Drosophila melanogaster: one gene and its partners. The protein of the gene in region 1 interacts with the protein of each later gene in a pairwise test. Each region holds a gene or a part of one and is shown on either strand. Other genes may lie near its edges.

What was found.
Region 2: the proteins of Ets65A (region 1) and d4 interact in a two-hybrid assay, tested with the Drosophila melanogaster proteins (one large-scale study listed by BioGRID).
Region 3: the proteins of Ets65A (region 1) and CG10959 interact in a two-hybrid assay, tested with the Drosophila melanogaster proteins (one large-scale study listed by BioGRID).

What each region holds. Positions count from the first base shown.
Region 1 is NT_037436.4:6,095,277-6,101,489, forward strand, and holds the start of Ets65A (Ets at 65A), read left to right. Parts: upstream 1-2,340; 5' UTR 2,341-3,195; intron 3,196-5,192; 5' UTR 5,193-5,253; coding exon 5,254-5,486; intron 5,487-5,658; coding exon 5,659-6,035; intron 6,036-6,213. Other genes in the region: loj (logjam), read left to right, coding at 1-67, 134-211, 373-636, 708-875, 930-986.
Region 2 is NT_033778.4:5,291,627-5,297,422, forward strand, and holds d4 (d4), read left to right. Parts: upstream 1-2,436; 5' UTR 2,437-2,638; coding exon 2,639-3,086; intron 3,087-3,170; coding exon 3,171-3,437; intron 3,438-3,489; coding exon 3,490-4,268; 3' UTR 4,269-4,339; downstream 4,340-5,796.
Region 3 is NC_004354.4:8,146,478-8,152,143, forward strand, and holds CG10959 (uncharacterized protein), read left to right. Parts: upstream 1-2,305; 5' UTR 2,306-2,420; coding exon 2,421-2,999; intron 3,000-3,067; coding exon 3,068-3,820; 3' UTR 3,821-4,209; downstream 4,210-5,666. Other genes in the region: CG2129 (uncharacterized protein), read left to right, coding at 1-869; CG15336 (uncharacterized protein), read left to right, coding at 1,538-2,017; Gbeta5 (G protein beta subunit 5), read right to left, coding at 4,590-5,666.

The DNA of each region.
Region 1 (6,213 bases):
AACCAGCGCTCAGGAGGCCCAACAACCATGGTACGAGAATCTGCCAGCGGTGGCCATGGACTATAAGGTGTGTGCTGATTTTAAGACTCCTCTAGAGCATCAAATTTCACCGGGAACGTGGTTTCTCTTTCAGGTTCACATAGATGCTGGTAAGGAGGACTGCTACCATCAGTACGTTAAGGCAGGAGCCACCTTCTACGTGTCCTTTAGTGTAAGTTGATAGAATTTGGGATCAATAGCATGTTTCCGATCCAATGGATGGGTTTCCCCTTGAGCAGTCTGTGATATTCTAAAATAAATCAAATCGAATCCATTAATACAGTAATATAATCTATCTAATACAATGAAATTATTCATATAAATTTTTTTTAGGTGGTGCGCGGAGGCGATGGAATGGCTGGTTTCGCCGTCCGCAATCCTGCTGGTGAAGTGGTGAAGCCCTACCAGTGGCAGGCTACTGCGGACTACACGGATCAGGTATCGCCCGGTGGCTACTACTCCGTCTGCATTGACAACCAGTTCTCCCGATTCGCTGGCAAGCTGGTCAACATCTATATCACGGTGGTGAAGTACGATGCATGGGACAAGTACGCCAAGGAGATCGAGCAGCTGCAGCTGAACATGCAAAACTTCACTGTAAGCCAAACTGGTTTTCAGACACACCCAAACATCCATTTACAAATATTCACATTGATCTATTTCTTTAGGCCACCGTTGGCACTGTGGAGCGCAACATCAACGATATGATGGGCTATCAAGCCCACAGTCGTCATCGCGAATCGCGTGATTATGCGTTGCTCCTGGACAACAATGCCTATATTCAAACCTTCTCGATTAGCCAAATTGTGGTCATATTGATCACGTGCTCTGTACAGGCGAGTATAGACATGTTTTTTGCTTTTCCTAAATTAATAACCTAATATTTGCAGGTATTCTTTGTGCGCAAACTATTTGAAGTAAAATCGAGCTCCAAAAGTCGCATCTAAGGCGCAAAGATACTTTTCAAAGACTTCGCAACATGTTTCTAAAATTCCATCCGCATTTCCAAGACATTCATTCTATTCTACCTGCTGAATGAGTTTTTGTAACTTATTTTATCACTGGCTAATTGATCAAGCGCAACTGAGCAGACTTTTTTATAATTGGGACTACTTATGTCATACGAGTTATAGACAGCAAAACTTATTGTGATAAGTGTACATTTGTGTGTTTTGTTTAATTAAAAGATTGAAGATTTTTGTATTTGCTTTGTTTTATTTGGGAAAGAACCTTAAGGATTTATTCGAAGCCATTTGGGTTTGTTAATTTACTAAAAGCTCTACAAGCTTTAAAGTTAAGCTGCTTTGGTAAGCTCACTTAACCGTTAAATTTCATTATCCTGGAAAGGATTTTAAACTTAAAAATATATAATTCAGGTTGTTGTTTTAAGAAACCTGTTTTTCTTTTTATATGGGAGTAAGTTATTTTCAAATTACGACATTGTTGCAAAGACATCTTCTCGTTGCCTAAAACCAATCTTAAATATTAAATACATGCTGTACATGAGCTCATTAGTTTAAATTGAGAGCTGAAGACATTTCGAAGACATTCCACAACTTGGGCTGGCAAATTAATCACCCCGAATGCCGCTTATCGCAAATTATCCTGCCCCATCCATCGCAGGACCTTAAATCATGTCACCAGGCTCACCGCTTATCTAGACGTCATTTAGCACATGTGTGTGTGCTCTGCAGCAGCTGGCATGTTAATTATATCCTTTTTGGCAGGCAGCAGGAGCATCTGGGTATCTTGGCGGGTCTTTTGTGGCCACTGCTGCTCGAAATTAAAATGTTATTATGCGAGGCTTATCTGCGGGCCTTAAAGCCACCGCAAAACTAAGGTCCTAATGGCCTCGCACACCAGCACACGCTCTTTAACTGTTTTAAACGCCATTGTTAAAATATTGCTCATACGCACTTCCGCCCAAAATGGGGTCTTCTCTCTTCGGCAGCACTAATGATGCCCCAAGAACGCGGAGCAAAGGACCCGGCGAAAGGCAGGAGCATCCACAGCCATAGCCACATCCACATCCACATCCCCGATGGCACAGAGTTGGCTCCGCCCACCAGCAGCCGATGACAGCGGCAGATAACAGAGCAGCGGCAAAGTGGGCGGTGGATGGGGTTGTGGTGCGGAGAGCGCGCCTGCGCATTAGCCGCCGCAGAAACGCAGGACGATGGGGTGACACATCCTCGGTGATAGCGCCCAGTTCCCCTGCCACACAGAGCCACCGCTTGTGGGAGGAGTGTGTCGCCATCTTTGAGCGTGGACTGGTGACTGGACGGGATGATCTGGCCGCCACATTAACTTGGAGTGCGCGCTACCAAGTGCAACACGTCGCGGACGACATAATAGCGGTACTTTGCGGTTTAGATTCGTCGGTCACACGTCGTCAATATTCCCGGGACAAGGACCAAACTAGCGAACCTTTCTTGGTCAGCACAAGCGGCAAACGAAGGCACAAAAACCACAAAAAACACAAAGCACACACACGGCACACACTTGTACACTTACACACGGCAAGCAGTGCGGAAAACTTGGACACATACGCCCAGCTTGTTGCTGGCTGTGGGCGTGGCAGCGCACGAAAAAGAAACAGACAAGGACACACACATGTGTCCTGCCAGTGTGTCGCGGAAATTTTTGTGCGGAAATTATAGAAATTTCGCTTTTTGATTTCATTTTCGTTCCGCTTTCGTTGCGAACCTCTCACCCCTCGCCACCCACCACCACCCACCTTTTGTGCACCTGCACCTGTGCGAAAAGACATCGAGAAATGCCCAAGGAGCCCGCTGCCGTCGGTGTCCAGTTGGCTTGGTGGTCGTCGCCGTCATCGTCCTTGCAGTGACAAATTTCCTTGCATATCCGCTCCAGGACTACGAAACTTTGGCTGCAAACAAAACCGTCATTTGCGTGGCGCGTCGCTGTCGCGTTCACTTGTCGCATATCCGTCGCCATTTTGACAATAATTTCATTTCCGGTTGGCAATTTGTACGCACTTGAGTGAGTGATTAACTGCACCGATTCCCAACGATTGTGAAGTGTTTAAGATTACTAAGTTGTAACTTAAGTTGTCCCGACGGAAGTTTAAGAGACAGTCAAAGAGGAGACTTATTTTTGGATAAACTTTATTGCACATACAGGCACAATCCTGAGGTGAGTTATGTTCGAATTATAGAATGATCAACATGATTCAGAACTCCGACGGGGTCCTAAATAACTAATGTATTTTTAAGTGCTTTGTTGAACCAAAGTTGAAGTAAATTAAAGATAATATCGTAACGGTAGAATTTTATTCAAAAATTGAAAACATACTCCTAGGCTTAAATGGGGAAAATCTCCAGCATAAAATGGGGAAAATATTAAATGCATAAAAATATTTGAAATGTACGAATTCAGAATACCAGACATGTTGAAGTCTATTTTAAATCTAAAAATTTATAACCAATGTCAGTAAAGAATAATTACAATAATAAACTTTAATATTTTGATAGAATTTATTTCGAATTTCTAAGATATTTGTAAACTATGATACTTTCTATTCAAACATTCTGATCTGATAAATTAAATCCACTTACATAGAATTTTGAGCGCTTAGATACAGCACCTGTGAACTTAGATGGTTGCTTTTAATTTCTAACTAACGACAGTTATCCAACCCCTAAAAAGCTCACCCCACCATCATCAGATAATTGTGAAGCATATGTTTCTGCTAATCGAATTAGTAGACTTAAAACGGAAGTATTCATAAACCAGAAAAAAAGCACATCAGCAGCATCATTGGGTAAAAGCTTGACAATTAAACAGCAGCACAGTTTCATCAACCAGTCGGCTGTGCAAACATTCAAAAATCCTAATTTCCTAAAATCGCATAAAAATCTTACAAACCATTAAAGAGCAGCCAAACGTGTGGCCTCTTAATTAAAGGATCTCTCGTCCAACAAGGGGATTACACCATTAACAGCTGTCGAAGAGCATAAACTCGGCAATCACAGCGATACCAAGTGGTATTCAAAGGACTCAGCACGCGCTGCAGAACGGGACGAGCATTCAGCCCATCTGCAGACCGACATCCTGGCATCCCGCTCGTATTTCCGGTGTGCGCGCGTTCGCTCAGCGATTGTGATAACTTGGGGAATACAAGGATACCAGAATACAAAAAAAATAAAATGTCTGCCTGCTAATGTTCGCTGGTGAAATTTGCCTACATGCAAACGCAGCCACTCGGCCTGAGTACAAATAATAAATAATAAATGAGGCGTGTGCAGGCCGTTTATAATGTCTGACAAGGCGCAAAGTTGATGATGTTCTGTAGATGCGACCGTTTCGATAACGAAATCTATTTACTCCTCCCGGCAAACTTAAAGCTGCTGGGGTTTCAGTTACAGTTTTCATTTCGGGTATGTTTGGTGTACTTTAAGCCAGAGACAGGACAAGTCGCACTTTGTATGGCATAAATTTCGTTGGCATAAATCAAAATTCAGCAACTTCCGACGAGGGCAGAGTGCAAAAATTTGCATGCCCCCTGTGTGTGCTAACTGCAGACTGGCCGAAAAGGGCCAGTAAACAATGGTTCGCCTTCCCCAGCTTCGACCAGCTGGACATTAGAGAGCCACGCTCAAATGGCCGCCACCCACGCACAGTTCAACGCTCATACGCAACGTTGGCCCAGTGCAAAAAGCGGGACTGTACACACAATAAATAACGAGCCAGATAATTATGCACGTCGTGCTTATATCTAAGGGAACACTAGCTCCACAGCTCCAAAGTAGCCACTATTAATTATGCCAGAACATCGGGGGGGTTTTCGGGTAGCTAGCTTAACGTGTTGGGGCCATGGCAATTAGAGCGATTGTTTGGCCCGAGAGGCATTCTAAAATTGCAGTATTTAATTGTGGACCACGCGCTATGATTTATTAATATCTCGCTCTGCAATTTGCCATGAGGTGAGTGATGGAGTTTACTTGGACTTTAAAGCAATTAAATCTTCTGGTTTGACTACCAATAGAGTACAAGAGTGTATGAATAAATATCTTAAGTTTTAGTAACTTATAAGTACTAAGTATTCATTTATATTCATTTTCGTTTGTAATTTTCGCAGTTTTATAAGTACTATAAAACCAATTTGTTCTATCTATTACTTTCTCCGGCAGAGTCAAGTGGAATCCCTTGTTTAGCCAACAGCCACCCATCGAGGCTCCCCAGGCGTGCGCCATGTACGAGAACTCCTGTTCGTATCAGACGGCGCTGGACCTGAAGAGGGTATCGCCACCGACTCTCGCCCAGGTGAAAACGGAGGAGTGCCTTGCACTCGGACAGTGCTCGCCAGAATGGACCTCGTACCGCTTCCATCAGTCCACCTTCGAGCAGCTGAAGCAGAGTGTGGAGAAGGCCAAGGCGGCGCTGCAGGATCGCAGCAGTTTTTTCGGGGCCAGCAGTGCCTTTAGGTGAGTAACATCTTAAGATGTAACTATTTTGCACTAAATAAAATTTATAAACCATTTAACTTGGAAATCTTACTTTAAAAGAATTTTAATCTTGAATTCAGAATTATAGTTTGAGGTCTTATTAATTGGTATTATGGTATATATATCTTAAATGTATGTTTTCCAACCACAGCGACATCTACTCGAGCCAGCGCTTAACGGACTCCCTCGACACCCTGCCCGTTCAGTCCGGGAATGGAGGCGGCAATTGCCTTGGCCTTCCACACAATCCCAATGTCGGAGTGGGCGTGGCCGGAGTGCTCAACTACAATGCGGTCAGCAGCAGTACGGCCGGAGTTCTGAGCAGCAGTGGGAACGGCGTGCAGAGACATCGGTTGGACACACTGCAGCCGCCATCCGGGTGCTCTCCAGCCGTCACCCAGCACGGCGTCATCACGTCCAGCGCCGGACAGGTCACGTCCGGAACTCTGGATGCGGTGAGTGCGGCTCCAGCACTTCCATCGCTAACAGCGTCCAGCTCCTCGCATGTGGAGCACAAAGTCAGGGCAGGTAAGTGAATTTAATGTGGCAGAAGCAATAGATTATACATCGAAAGAAAGAACTATTAATATAATAATAAATTATATACAAATAGTAGACATTTTCGAAATGGGAGCAATCTGTCTTATTTTTAAAATCATTTAAATTATATTTATATTAAATAAAAGTAATCATTAAATTAGATGAG
Region 2 (5,796 bases), on another chromosome or scaffold:
TCATCATTTTATTAGTCTTGTAAATTTCTATAGAATTTTTGCCATGCCCACTCTTACTCCCTAAAACCGTCCAAAACTGCCGCGAAGCGGTCACGCCCACACTTTAAGAAATTTTTTTTTTAATTTTTTCTCATTTTATTTCCCAATATCTATTGATATCCCAGAAAAAAATGTTCTCGTTCCCATTTACACTAGCTGTCAGCTAGTAGCTGAGAAATGCTTTTGCATGTTCCGATGCGCACTTCTGAAAGCGTTAGCTTAGAAGTCGGCAATTCATGAAAGAGCGATGATATTTCCTCGCCTTGATTAAAAACATCAATCTTAATCGCTTAGAATTTTTAGGAGAGAGATCACCGTCATGAGAGTCGGCTGTGCAGCCGAAACAATTAGGCTCTGCGACGATTTTGTGATGTTCTTCAAGGGTGATGAATTGTGGATCTGTATGGTACATTCGATGTACAAGTTATCCAACCCATAAACATAGCACCCTTCCACAGTTTATAAACAAATTTCAATTCTCAATCTCGTCGGCATTTCCTTTGTCTTTGTTTTTGTCATTGCCTTTGCCAGCGCTTAGCTACTCGCTAAAGTAAATAACCCAAACTTAACGTAAACACAGCTTCCGCTTGGAGACCAAACCACGGCCAACTTATTACGCTTCAATCAAAAACTGCATCGATCAGCATAATTGAATTTCACAATGCAGTGGAATAATTTCAGCATAAAGCTTTTATCAAAAGTTCAGAAAGTGTCAAAGAAAAGCTTCTGGCCGAGGTTGATTGGATTAGGATTCAGAATTTGAAGATCAGTCTGATTCGGGAGGATTAAAAGAACGGTTTATTAGTGTATAAATAGATAACAATAAGTGTCTTGTAATAAAGTGATAAGTTGAAAAGTTTAACACCAATAAAAATACTAAAAAATAAAAAATTATTTTTTAAAATAATTTATACCGCAAAAAGTTAATTTACATATGTGAGGTTTGAGGCCAAAATTTTTTTCGGCTGCTTTTCATGGCGGGCCCCTGTGGTTGGCTAACTCTTTAGCGTGGAACTCTGAGGTGCTTAAAAATACCGTTTTTTCATTTTCACGGTACTGCACATAGAATTTTGTTTGTTTTCGTGCCTGCCTTCGTCCAGCGTTCCGCCTTTTATACACTCGTTGAAAGTATCCAAGCCAAAATCCCGCCATTCTGGTCTCGATCAGTACTTTCCACGGATACAGACGATTTTCCGATTATTATCGCTACATTTTGTTGCCCAATAAATGATCCTGGCAACTTTTTAATATACACTTACTGGTACGAGCGTCCAAGAATAATCCTGATCTATAATTCTTAATTTATCAGATCGGACACGTTTACTTTTTTTTCGCATATCGATAGAAATTTACAAAACTAACGGAAAAATATACAAATATCAAAACATTTTTTTAATATATTAGCCTGGCAGTCTTAAGCAGTTTGTGAATGCTTCTGGATCTGCATGCTTAATCTCAACCTTATAGCTTTAATAGTTCCTGAGCTTTCGACGTTCATGCGGACGGACATGGCCAATTCAACTCGGCTATTAATCGGATCAAGAATATATATACTTTATGTGATCAGAAACCGTTCCTTCGGGTTGTTACCTATTTTTTAACGAATCCAGTGTACCCTTTTAGTCTACGAGTAGCGGGTTTAGAAATGGAGCAGATGGTATCCTTGTCAAGGAAGTTTGCGGTACAATTTAATGAGATCCAACGCCTATGGTTTAACTTCTGGCGAATGATTGATCTTTAATAAATTTATATCTAATGTATACAGACTTTAAAACTTCGATTTAACTATCGACCCCTGCGGTGTTGATTTCGTGTTTTAAATGTTTTTGTATTTGTTTTAATACACTTGCTATACATCTACATCAAAAAATTCAAATAGAATTGTCAAATTCAAAACGACTGAATAAATTTCACCAGTGTGAATAGAAATAAAGAAGTGGTTTTCATGAAGAGGGTTATGTTTATCATTTTCATCAATATGGCTAAATTGGATAAATAACATATATTCTTAAAAAAAATTTTGAATAACTATTTAAAAGTCAAACTCAGTACATTTTGAACATGACTAATTCGAGACGATATGACCAGCCGTTAAGCATTAAGAGACTTTCACACTCCGAAAATTCTCCTTCAATGCGATAAAAATTCGGAATTAAAAAATATAGCATCAATGGTATAAAAACAAAAAAAAATAAATAAATTCTTTTAATGCAATGTTTATTTCTTAGCACTGGATCAAGAACTTTTGCTACAGAACTTATTGTTAATGTTAACTTATTGTTACGTATCAAGAAGTTGTGAATTGCGCATTAGGGAGCACTTGTGGAAATAACTTATTATAACTATGGTCGAGAACTTTGATATACATTTTGTATCTATTTTAAAATAGAAATACGTTCACACCTTTTCTAAATATTTAATTTTGTACTTCTTGCCTAGTGCCCCATAACAATTCTATATTTTGTTATTTGTATCAGCTTGAATTGTGTGTGAAGAAACATAAATTTTATCAATGACAAAAAAATATGTTGACAATTTAGCTCTTTAGTTTAGCTATTGCTTAACCAAATAATTCCTGCGGCTACCACTCGGCATCAACATGGCTTCCAAATCTGCGTACGAAAAAACTTTGGTAGTAAACATTGCCAATTTTGAAAAAATTCAGAACTTTTTAAATGACAAGGAAAAGTACAAGGAGATTCTAGAAAACAGCGAGAATTTCAACACTCGTCTATGCATTGAACGTCGACTTCGCATGCCATTCCTCGATCCCCAGACAGGTGTCGCACAGACACATTGCTCCCTCTTTATGAAAAAAAAACAGCGAATGCCAGGTCTTCGACATGGTCAGATATACACTTATCCATCGTCTCGGTGGCGCAAACCAAAACGTCAGTACTTACTTAACCCGAATCAAAGTTTCCGAGCCTATCAGTATCGCGAGCACAACCTTCAGCACTCCCACCATCAAACGCATCAGCATCACCATCATATACCTTCGTCTGGCGTTGCTGTACCACAAAATCCTCACTTAGCTGAAAGCGCAGGTAAAAAATTGCAGCTTATCGTCGGATGAAAGTCAATATTTTATACATCTGACATTTATATTTATTATGGGTTTTTATTTACAGCCATTGCTGCTACGGATGGCAACTCCATGGGAGCATCAGGAGATAATGATAGTAAGGACTCACATGCAAACGTCGAAAAAGAATGGTTCCACGATGAAATGGACACATCACATTTTCATCATGGCGATGAATTTGAGGATGACTTTGATTCAGATAACGATTTTGATGAGTCTTACACCAGCCGGGGCAAACGCAAAAAGTGTTCGCGTCCTAGACGAACAAATGCAAACGTAGAGGGTACTCCCAAACGGGGACGTAAAGGTGGTGGTGAGTACAAGTTTATTAAGCTGATGAATTGTAAACGTTATTGATACCCTAGGCAATCGTCGAAAGAACGCCGTTGAGGGAGAATCTGATCGAAAACGTAGAGCCGGTGGAAATAGTGCAAATACATCCGCAGCCGCAGCGGCAGCTGCCGCCGCTGTCGCACATGCAGCATGTACTGCAGCTGCTGTCGCTAGCACTGGGCTCTATGCATCTCATTCCAACTCAGCTTCGCCTATTCCCATAAATGACGACAATTCACAGTCAGGACTCATACTGCCAACAAACATATCGTCGTCGTACGATAAGACTTCAAGCGATGCTGGAGCTTCCAATGACTCAATTCCCCTAGCAACAATGGTTGCCATAAACGCGGGCCTGACAACCTCAAATGTTTGCAATGCGCATCCGGTGCAAACAGGAACAAATCAAACGGTGTTTGCTACTGGTAATAAGGTCAAACAACGTGTAGAACGTGACATAGCGCAACCATCACCTTATTGTGACTTTTGTCTGGGAGATCAACGAGAAAATAAAAAAACCAATATGCCCGAAGAGCTAGTATCGTGCTCGGACTGTGGTCGTTCCGGTCATCCATCGTGTCTGCAGTTCACGGCAAATATGATTATATCGGTAAAACGTTATCGTTGGCAATGCATTGAATGCAAGTACTGCTCCATCTGTGGGACCTCTGATAATGACGATCAACTTTTATTTTGTGACGATTGTGACCGGGGATACCATATGTACTGCCTGTCACCACCGCTTGTGACTCCACCAGAGGGTTCTTGGAGCTGCAAGCTATGCATGGAGGAGTTCCACAAGATTAAATAAGCTAATAAGCTACATTAATAATTCACCAATTATAAGTTAATCTTCTCATAAATATAAAAAACGTACATTTTACTTGGTTTGTTGAATTTTTTGGTCTTCTATTTTTCTTTTTATGCGCCTGTATGGGTTTTATCAGTTTTGGTTTAAGTAACCTAATTAATTTTTACACAGGTAAAGACACTTGACTAGCAACATATATCGAGAGTTCAATTGATAAAAATTATATATATATTATTGTGTAGTTTGGCGAAATTAAAGTCTGCTAATTTAATCCTCGCTATTTTTATTTTTTATTATATTTTATAAATGTTTCTTCTGTGTGCTTTTTGAATTACAAAGTGGCCAAATTAAAAGGAAATATAACCGTATAACGATTAGATTCGTTGAAAAGTATGTAACAGGCAGAAGAACGCGTTTCCGAATGTATAAGGTATATATATATGTTCTTGATCAGGATCATAGCGAATCGATCATGAACTATAAAAGCGCAAGTTTGTTGACCCATATTTTATTGTTTGTCTTGTTAATTTCTGTAGGTATTCCAAAAAACACTTTGGCCACGCCCTTCCTTTAACCATCAAAACGCCCGAAAACGTTGATTTAGAGCTTATAGATTTTTTATTTTTAAGGAACCGAAAAATAGGTGTAATGTGTAAAGAAATAAGTTGGTGAAAGATAAGAGAATCTGTAGCTCGTAGCTACAAATAGTATATTCAGAAAAGGATAGTTTCAGCATAAAGAAAGGATTAGAAATTTGCTAGCTAAACACTGGCCTAATTGAGCTCGCCGAATGCCTTAATCATATATATTTTTGACAGTGAAACGTTTTATCGGAGTGGGAAACTCACTTGATTTATTTATTACTATTATTACTTTATAATGCCCAAAAGGCATATATATATAAAGGTCTACCAGTCTATAAATTCTGTCAGTATATTTTTATACCTGACATATCTGACCATATAAGGTATATATATATACTTGATCAGGGTCAATAGCCGAGTCGATCTAGCCATGTCCGTCTGCCCGCATGAACGTCGAGAGCTCAGGAACTATTAAAGCTATAAGGTTGAGATACATATACATTCAGATTCTAGAGACATAGACGCAGCCCAAGTTGACCCATGTTGCCACGCCCCCAAACCGCACAAAACTGCCACACCCTTACTTTTGAAAAACGTGTTGATATTTATTTAAATTCTTATAAGTCTTGTAAATTTCTATCGATTTGCAAAAAAAAAAATGGTTGGCACACATTTTTCACATTTTGAAAAATTTTTAGATAATTTTTCATAATTTTATTAGTCTTGTAAAATTCTATCGATTTGCCAAAAAACTTTTTGCCACGCCCACTCTACAGCCCTAAAACCGCGCAATACTACCATGCCCACATTTTTAACAATTTTTAAATTTAATTTTATTCCCCAATATCTATCGATATCCTAGAAAAATTATGAAATTACGCTTTTGCATTCACACTAGCTGAGTAACGGGTATCTGAAGTTGGTTCTCTATGGTTTTTCTTTTC
Region 3 (5,666 bases), on another chromosome or scaffold:
CCAAGATTCCGCACTCGTGTCCGCACTGCACAAAAGTTTACCAGAGCCGCAAGGTCCTCGAACGCCACATAATGCGCCAGCACAAAGACACTCTCTCGCCGGATGTGGACAGCGAGGACGCGGACTACGAGCCGCCCAAGGATGCGCCCGTCAAGTCCGCTGCCCAGGAGTACAAGTGCGAGCACTGCGGCAAGATCTACCATGGCAAATACAGTCTGCGTCAGCATTTAAAGCGGGATCATGACAACGGCGAGGAAGGAGGCTCCGCCATCTTCACCTGCCTGGAATGCGAGGCCCAATTGCCGCGCCTGCGCCTGCTGGACGAGCACATGGTGCAGGCGCATGGCGGCGCTGCCTGTGTGGTTTGCGGGCGGCGCTACAAGACGCGACACGAACTGAAACGCCACCAGCTCAAGCACACCAGCGAACGGAACGTGCCCTGCCCGCATCCCGGCTGCGGCAAGCGCTTCTTCACCATCCGTCATATGCGCAATCACGGCAAGGTGCACACGGAGCAAAAGAACTTCGTCTGCGAGAGCTGCGGCTACAGCTGCCGGAACAAGGAGACGCTGCGCGTCCACATCAGGAGCCACACGGGCGAACGGCCGTTCGGGTGTCAAGTGTGCGACAAAAGATTCCCCTCCCATTCCGGCCTGCGAGAGCACATGGCCATGCATTCCACGGAGCGACCGCATGTGTGCAGCGTTTGCGGTGCGACCTTCTCCCGACAGAAAGGCCTCTACCACCACAAGTTCCTGCACGCGGACACCAAGCAGTTCGTGTGCAAGCTGTGCGGGAATGCCTATGCCCAGGCCGCCGGTCTCGCTGGACATATGCGCAAGCACCGGAACGACGAGCTCAACGGATAGGATCCGGATCACCGAGGTCGTAGTCTAAGTTGTACGTTTTGTATCTTCCAATTCCGACGTTTAAGTTCAGGAACTCAGGCATAGGCTATATATAGGATTACCATAGAAATCAATGGTTTTTTGCATTGCTCCGGCATGGAGCGGGTATCATGTGACTCTTCGGTCCTCGTTTCACGGGTTTCCATCGAATTTATTTGACACGCACTGTAAATAATATCCCTAGTTTTAGATAAACTGAAAGTTTGTTAATCTGTTTCGAGTGAACTTAGTTTGAGGCAAATTTAATTGGCTCGATTGTAAGTACTAAGACTAAACTACATTTCCATGAATTTTCTAAACTACCAACTCAAATAATAACTAAACTTTGTTAAGGTTTAAACTATACATTAAGCACACAATGCTTCCAAGAACCAAATCGAACGCCGTAATCTCGGCAACCGGATGTGGCTAGTATTCGAATGGTTAACTTTTTTGTATTGATAAATATACATAACATGAATTTGATTCGCAAAAGAGAGCCCGCGTTTAAAATTAGCCAAGCGATTTGGTACCTTTGACAGCAATTAATCGGTCGACTGCTGCTAAAGCGGCCAAATGCCAAGATGGTATTGGATGGGGTGCGTCTAACAATAGTGCCGACGATTAGATTTGGCACACGCGGACCGACCATGTCGGCGGAACGTCCAGCTGCCAGCTCCGATAATCGGCGACTTATGTGCGAGTTCTGCGGCTATCGGACGCGCATCTATTGGAATCTGCAGATCCATCGTCGGCGACACACCGGCGAAATGCCCTTCAGTTGCCAGCAATGCCAGGCGCGTTTCCCGGCCAGCTATCAGCTGAAAAGCCACTTGGAGCGGCACTTGGACGCCGGCGAGCGACGCCAGCGGCACATTTGCACCGACTGCAACGTGGGTTTCTCCAGTTCGCGGGCCCTGTACCATCACCGGACGCTCCACGAGGATGGGAAGCGCTTCAAGTGCTCCCAGTGCGACAAGTCGTTCGCTCAGGCGGCGGGCTACGCCCAACACAAGCGGATTCACCGCCAGAGGAACCAGCGAGCCACCGAAACCACGGATCTGAAGGATCTGCAGATCAAAAGAGTGGTTTCAAGTGTTTTTCATCGGCGCGAGTTTAACACTGCATAAAATTCAGTGGAGTAATTAACATTTTATTTTTGTGTCATATTCAAATTTAAAAAAACCGGGTAACCGATTCGTTATTTCAACTGAAGTGCCTTATAAATAAAACAGGCAGTATCACTTTCTAAGAGTCTGGTAACAAATTGGTAACACTTGAGAGGAGCATATTGCTTAGCTATTTAATATACATAGATCAAATATAATTAATTTTGAACTTAAAATTTATTTTGTAGTTTATTCGGTCAAACGGTTAGTTTGGTTTGAAACATAGCTGAATGGCTGTGAAATCAGTGCTGGTTTGAGTCTGCACTAAATGTCTATCGAAGTCGATCGAAATTTTGTTTACATATTTTATTTTAATTTTGGTAAATAATATTGCAACAATTTTAATGTAAATAAGAATCAGAAAATGTTGAGACACTGCCTCGCCAACGTCGACTACGTCCGCCTGCACGCCCAGCAGCAGTTGCGTCCCAAATGCGGCGAGATCTTCTACGAACCGGAGGCGAATAGATTCCAACTGGTCTGCCTGCTCTGCGACATGAAGCACTTTGGATTCGAGGACTTCGCCCGCCATATCCGTAATGTGCACTTCGACAAGCAGGGCCGACCGCTCACCAAGACGGTCACGGGACTGGGCAGACTAGCACGAGAGGAACAGGAGTTCCAAGGGGTCAGCGCAGAACCATTGGCTGTGGACAGCTTCAAGAAAGAGTACCTGCCCAACGAGGATGTTCTGTCGGAGGAGGAGGACGCGGAACAGGAGCTGGGACTGGAACAGGACGAGGGCAATCCACTACGCATCATGGTGCTCGGGGGTAAACAGTCCGTGGACGAGGAGACCATCGATACGATGTGGCAGCCGGATCATGACAGTTCCTCCGCATCCGTCAACGAGGGGTGCGCTCTGGAGGCTCTGTTGGGCGTGGAAAATCCGCAAGACTATCAACCGGATGAGGACGGGGAGGAGCACCAGTCTGTTTTTAAGGTAGAAAAACTGTAGTACGTGCACTTGAAGAAGGAAATCCAATATCTGAATATGTTTTTTCCCTGCAGAAGCAGCGCCAACCAAAGGACTACAACTGCCCACACTGCGACAGGAGGTACACGACGCAGAAATACCTAAACACCCACCTAAAGATGAGCCATCCGTTTCCGCAGGCCTTCAAGTGCGTCGACTGCAAAGCCACCTTCGATGTGGACCGAGCATTGGCCCAGCATCGTCGCAAGGAGCACACGGAGTTCGCCTGCCAGCTATGCGACAAGGTGTTCAAAAGCTCGCGATCCCTTCTTCGCCATGTGCAGGGTCACTCCGGCGCCAGGACATTCAAGTGTGAGCACGAGAACTGCGGCAAGTCGTTTGTCAACCAGCACAACCTCACCTCGCATCGGCGGGTCCACAGCGAGGAGCGGAACTACGTGTGCGAGCTGTGCGGCTATAGATCCCGCTACCGGGAGGCGTTGATCGTCCACCGGCGCACGCATACGGGCGAGAAACCCTTCCAGTGCCAGACCTGTGCCCGCCGCTTTGCCTCCAAGTCGCTGCTCAACGAGCACCAGGCCATGCATTCCACCGAGAAGCCCTACAAGTGCGACAAATGTGATTCGGCCTTCTCCCGCCCGAAGGCGCTCTATCACCACAAGCATCTGCATTTGGGCATCAAGAAGTTCAAGTGCAAGATCTGCGGTAATGCCTATGCCCAGGCGGCAGGTCTATCCGCTCATATGCGAGCGCACAAGCTCCAGGCGTCCGTAAATGCGACGGAGGGTGCCGAGGCGGAACCCATCGAGATGCTTTTCACCTACTGACCGAACTGAGTGGAAACCTCCTGTCGCCTTAAGCTCTATTTCCATATAACTCAAGATATTCAAGATACACCACAAACAATGTTCACTGTTCTAGATTTTATAGATAGCTTATCAATGTTTATGGACACCCGACTCTTTCGTTCCAACTTTTCACATATATATATATATCTGTAAATAGTATTAGACATTTTCCAATCTAAGGCCGCAAATGTTCTTTTTTAATTTAAGTGATGAAGCCTTCCATTTCTGTGTCTCAAAAATTAGTACCTACATATCAGTAGAAGTCGTGTGTAAGCTGTTATATCTGTTAGTTTAGCTAGTTTTAAGCCAAGACCTTGCTTCCGACTAGGACAAACCACGTATGTACAATAAATGTTCTGATACACGTTACTCCAACATGGACTTTCAAATGGGCGCACAAAGAAGCCAGTTTGTCTATAGCTCAACATTTATTTCGAACAGGAACTTATAACTAGTCGCATATTGGTTACACTTGGATGCATATACATGTATATATTTAGATTCAATTTGGTACAGCAGCTGGTAGTAAGCATAACACTGCGGTAACCAAGACATCCATGCTGGCAATCCCGACATGAGACATATGTACACACTTGGGGGATCACCGAATCCGTAACTTAACTATCCTAGAGATGCGATGCACAACACAAAAAAAAAAAAAAAAAACAAATCAGAAGAGAGGGAAAACAAAGCGAGACGGCATCTGTCCTGGACAAATGCATCCCCCAACAATAAGGTGCCACATGGCTTAGGCCCACACCCGTATGGTGTAGTCCCAACTGCCGGTGGATAGAGCGGTGCCATCGGGCGAGACCTGGACGCAGGACACCTTGTTCTCGTGCCCGTACAGCAGGCAGACCCTTTCCGATTTCAGCGTGTCCCACAAGTTGACGGTGTAATCGTTGTAGCCAGCAAACAGTAATCTTCCACTGACCGAAAAGTCCACCGAATTGACGCCAAAGATGATGCTCTCCTTGGCGAACACGGCCACCTCGCGATCCGCTCGCATATCGTACAGCCGGCAGCTGCTGTCATCCGATCCAGTGGCTATGGCATCTCCGCAAGGATGGAACTTAACGCTATTCACATCCGATTGATGACCCTCGAAGGACTGAACGACATGACCAGAGCGCATGTCCCAGATGAAGGCCATGCGATCGCAACTGCCCGAGACAAAGGTGTTGCCCGTTTCGTTGGGAGCCAAATCGATGGCCATTACATCGCCGGAATGTCCGTGGAAGCTTTGCAGTAGCTGGCCCGATTCCACGTCCCACAAAGCGCATGTGGAATCGCCACTGCCCGTGAGGATTTGCTGATCGGAATTCGGATAGATGCAGCACGACATGTAGCTGGTGTGGGTGCCCACTGTGCGCTTCTTGGCGGCCATCTCCTCATCGGAGGTTATCGGATACACGGTGACCTTATTGTCTAGTCCGCCGCAGGCCACAAAATTGCCCGACGGCGCGTAGGCACAGGCCATAATCCAGGTGGTGGGCATGGTGACGGCGTGCTCCTTGTTCGTGGTGAACGCATCCCAGATGATCAGACGTCCGTCCTGCGACGAGGAGATGATGTGACGCTTGTCGGGACTCCAGTCGGTGCACAGGACCTTCGCCTGGTGGCCCTTGAGCACCTTACGCGGCTTGATGTTCACATAGGCGATCTGCTCCAGCCGCTCTGCGATGTTCGACAGATTGACGTCGTTCAGCTTCTGGCGCTCCTCCTCCAGTTTGGTCTTCAAATTCTCCGCCTCTCGCACCAAACTGGCCATCTTTTCAGTGGCATTCGCGTTCGCATTGCTCGCTGGCACCGCCGCCTCCGACAT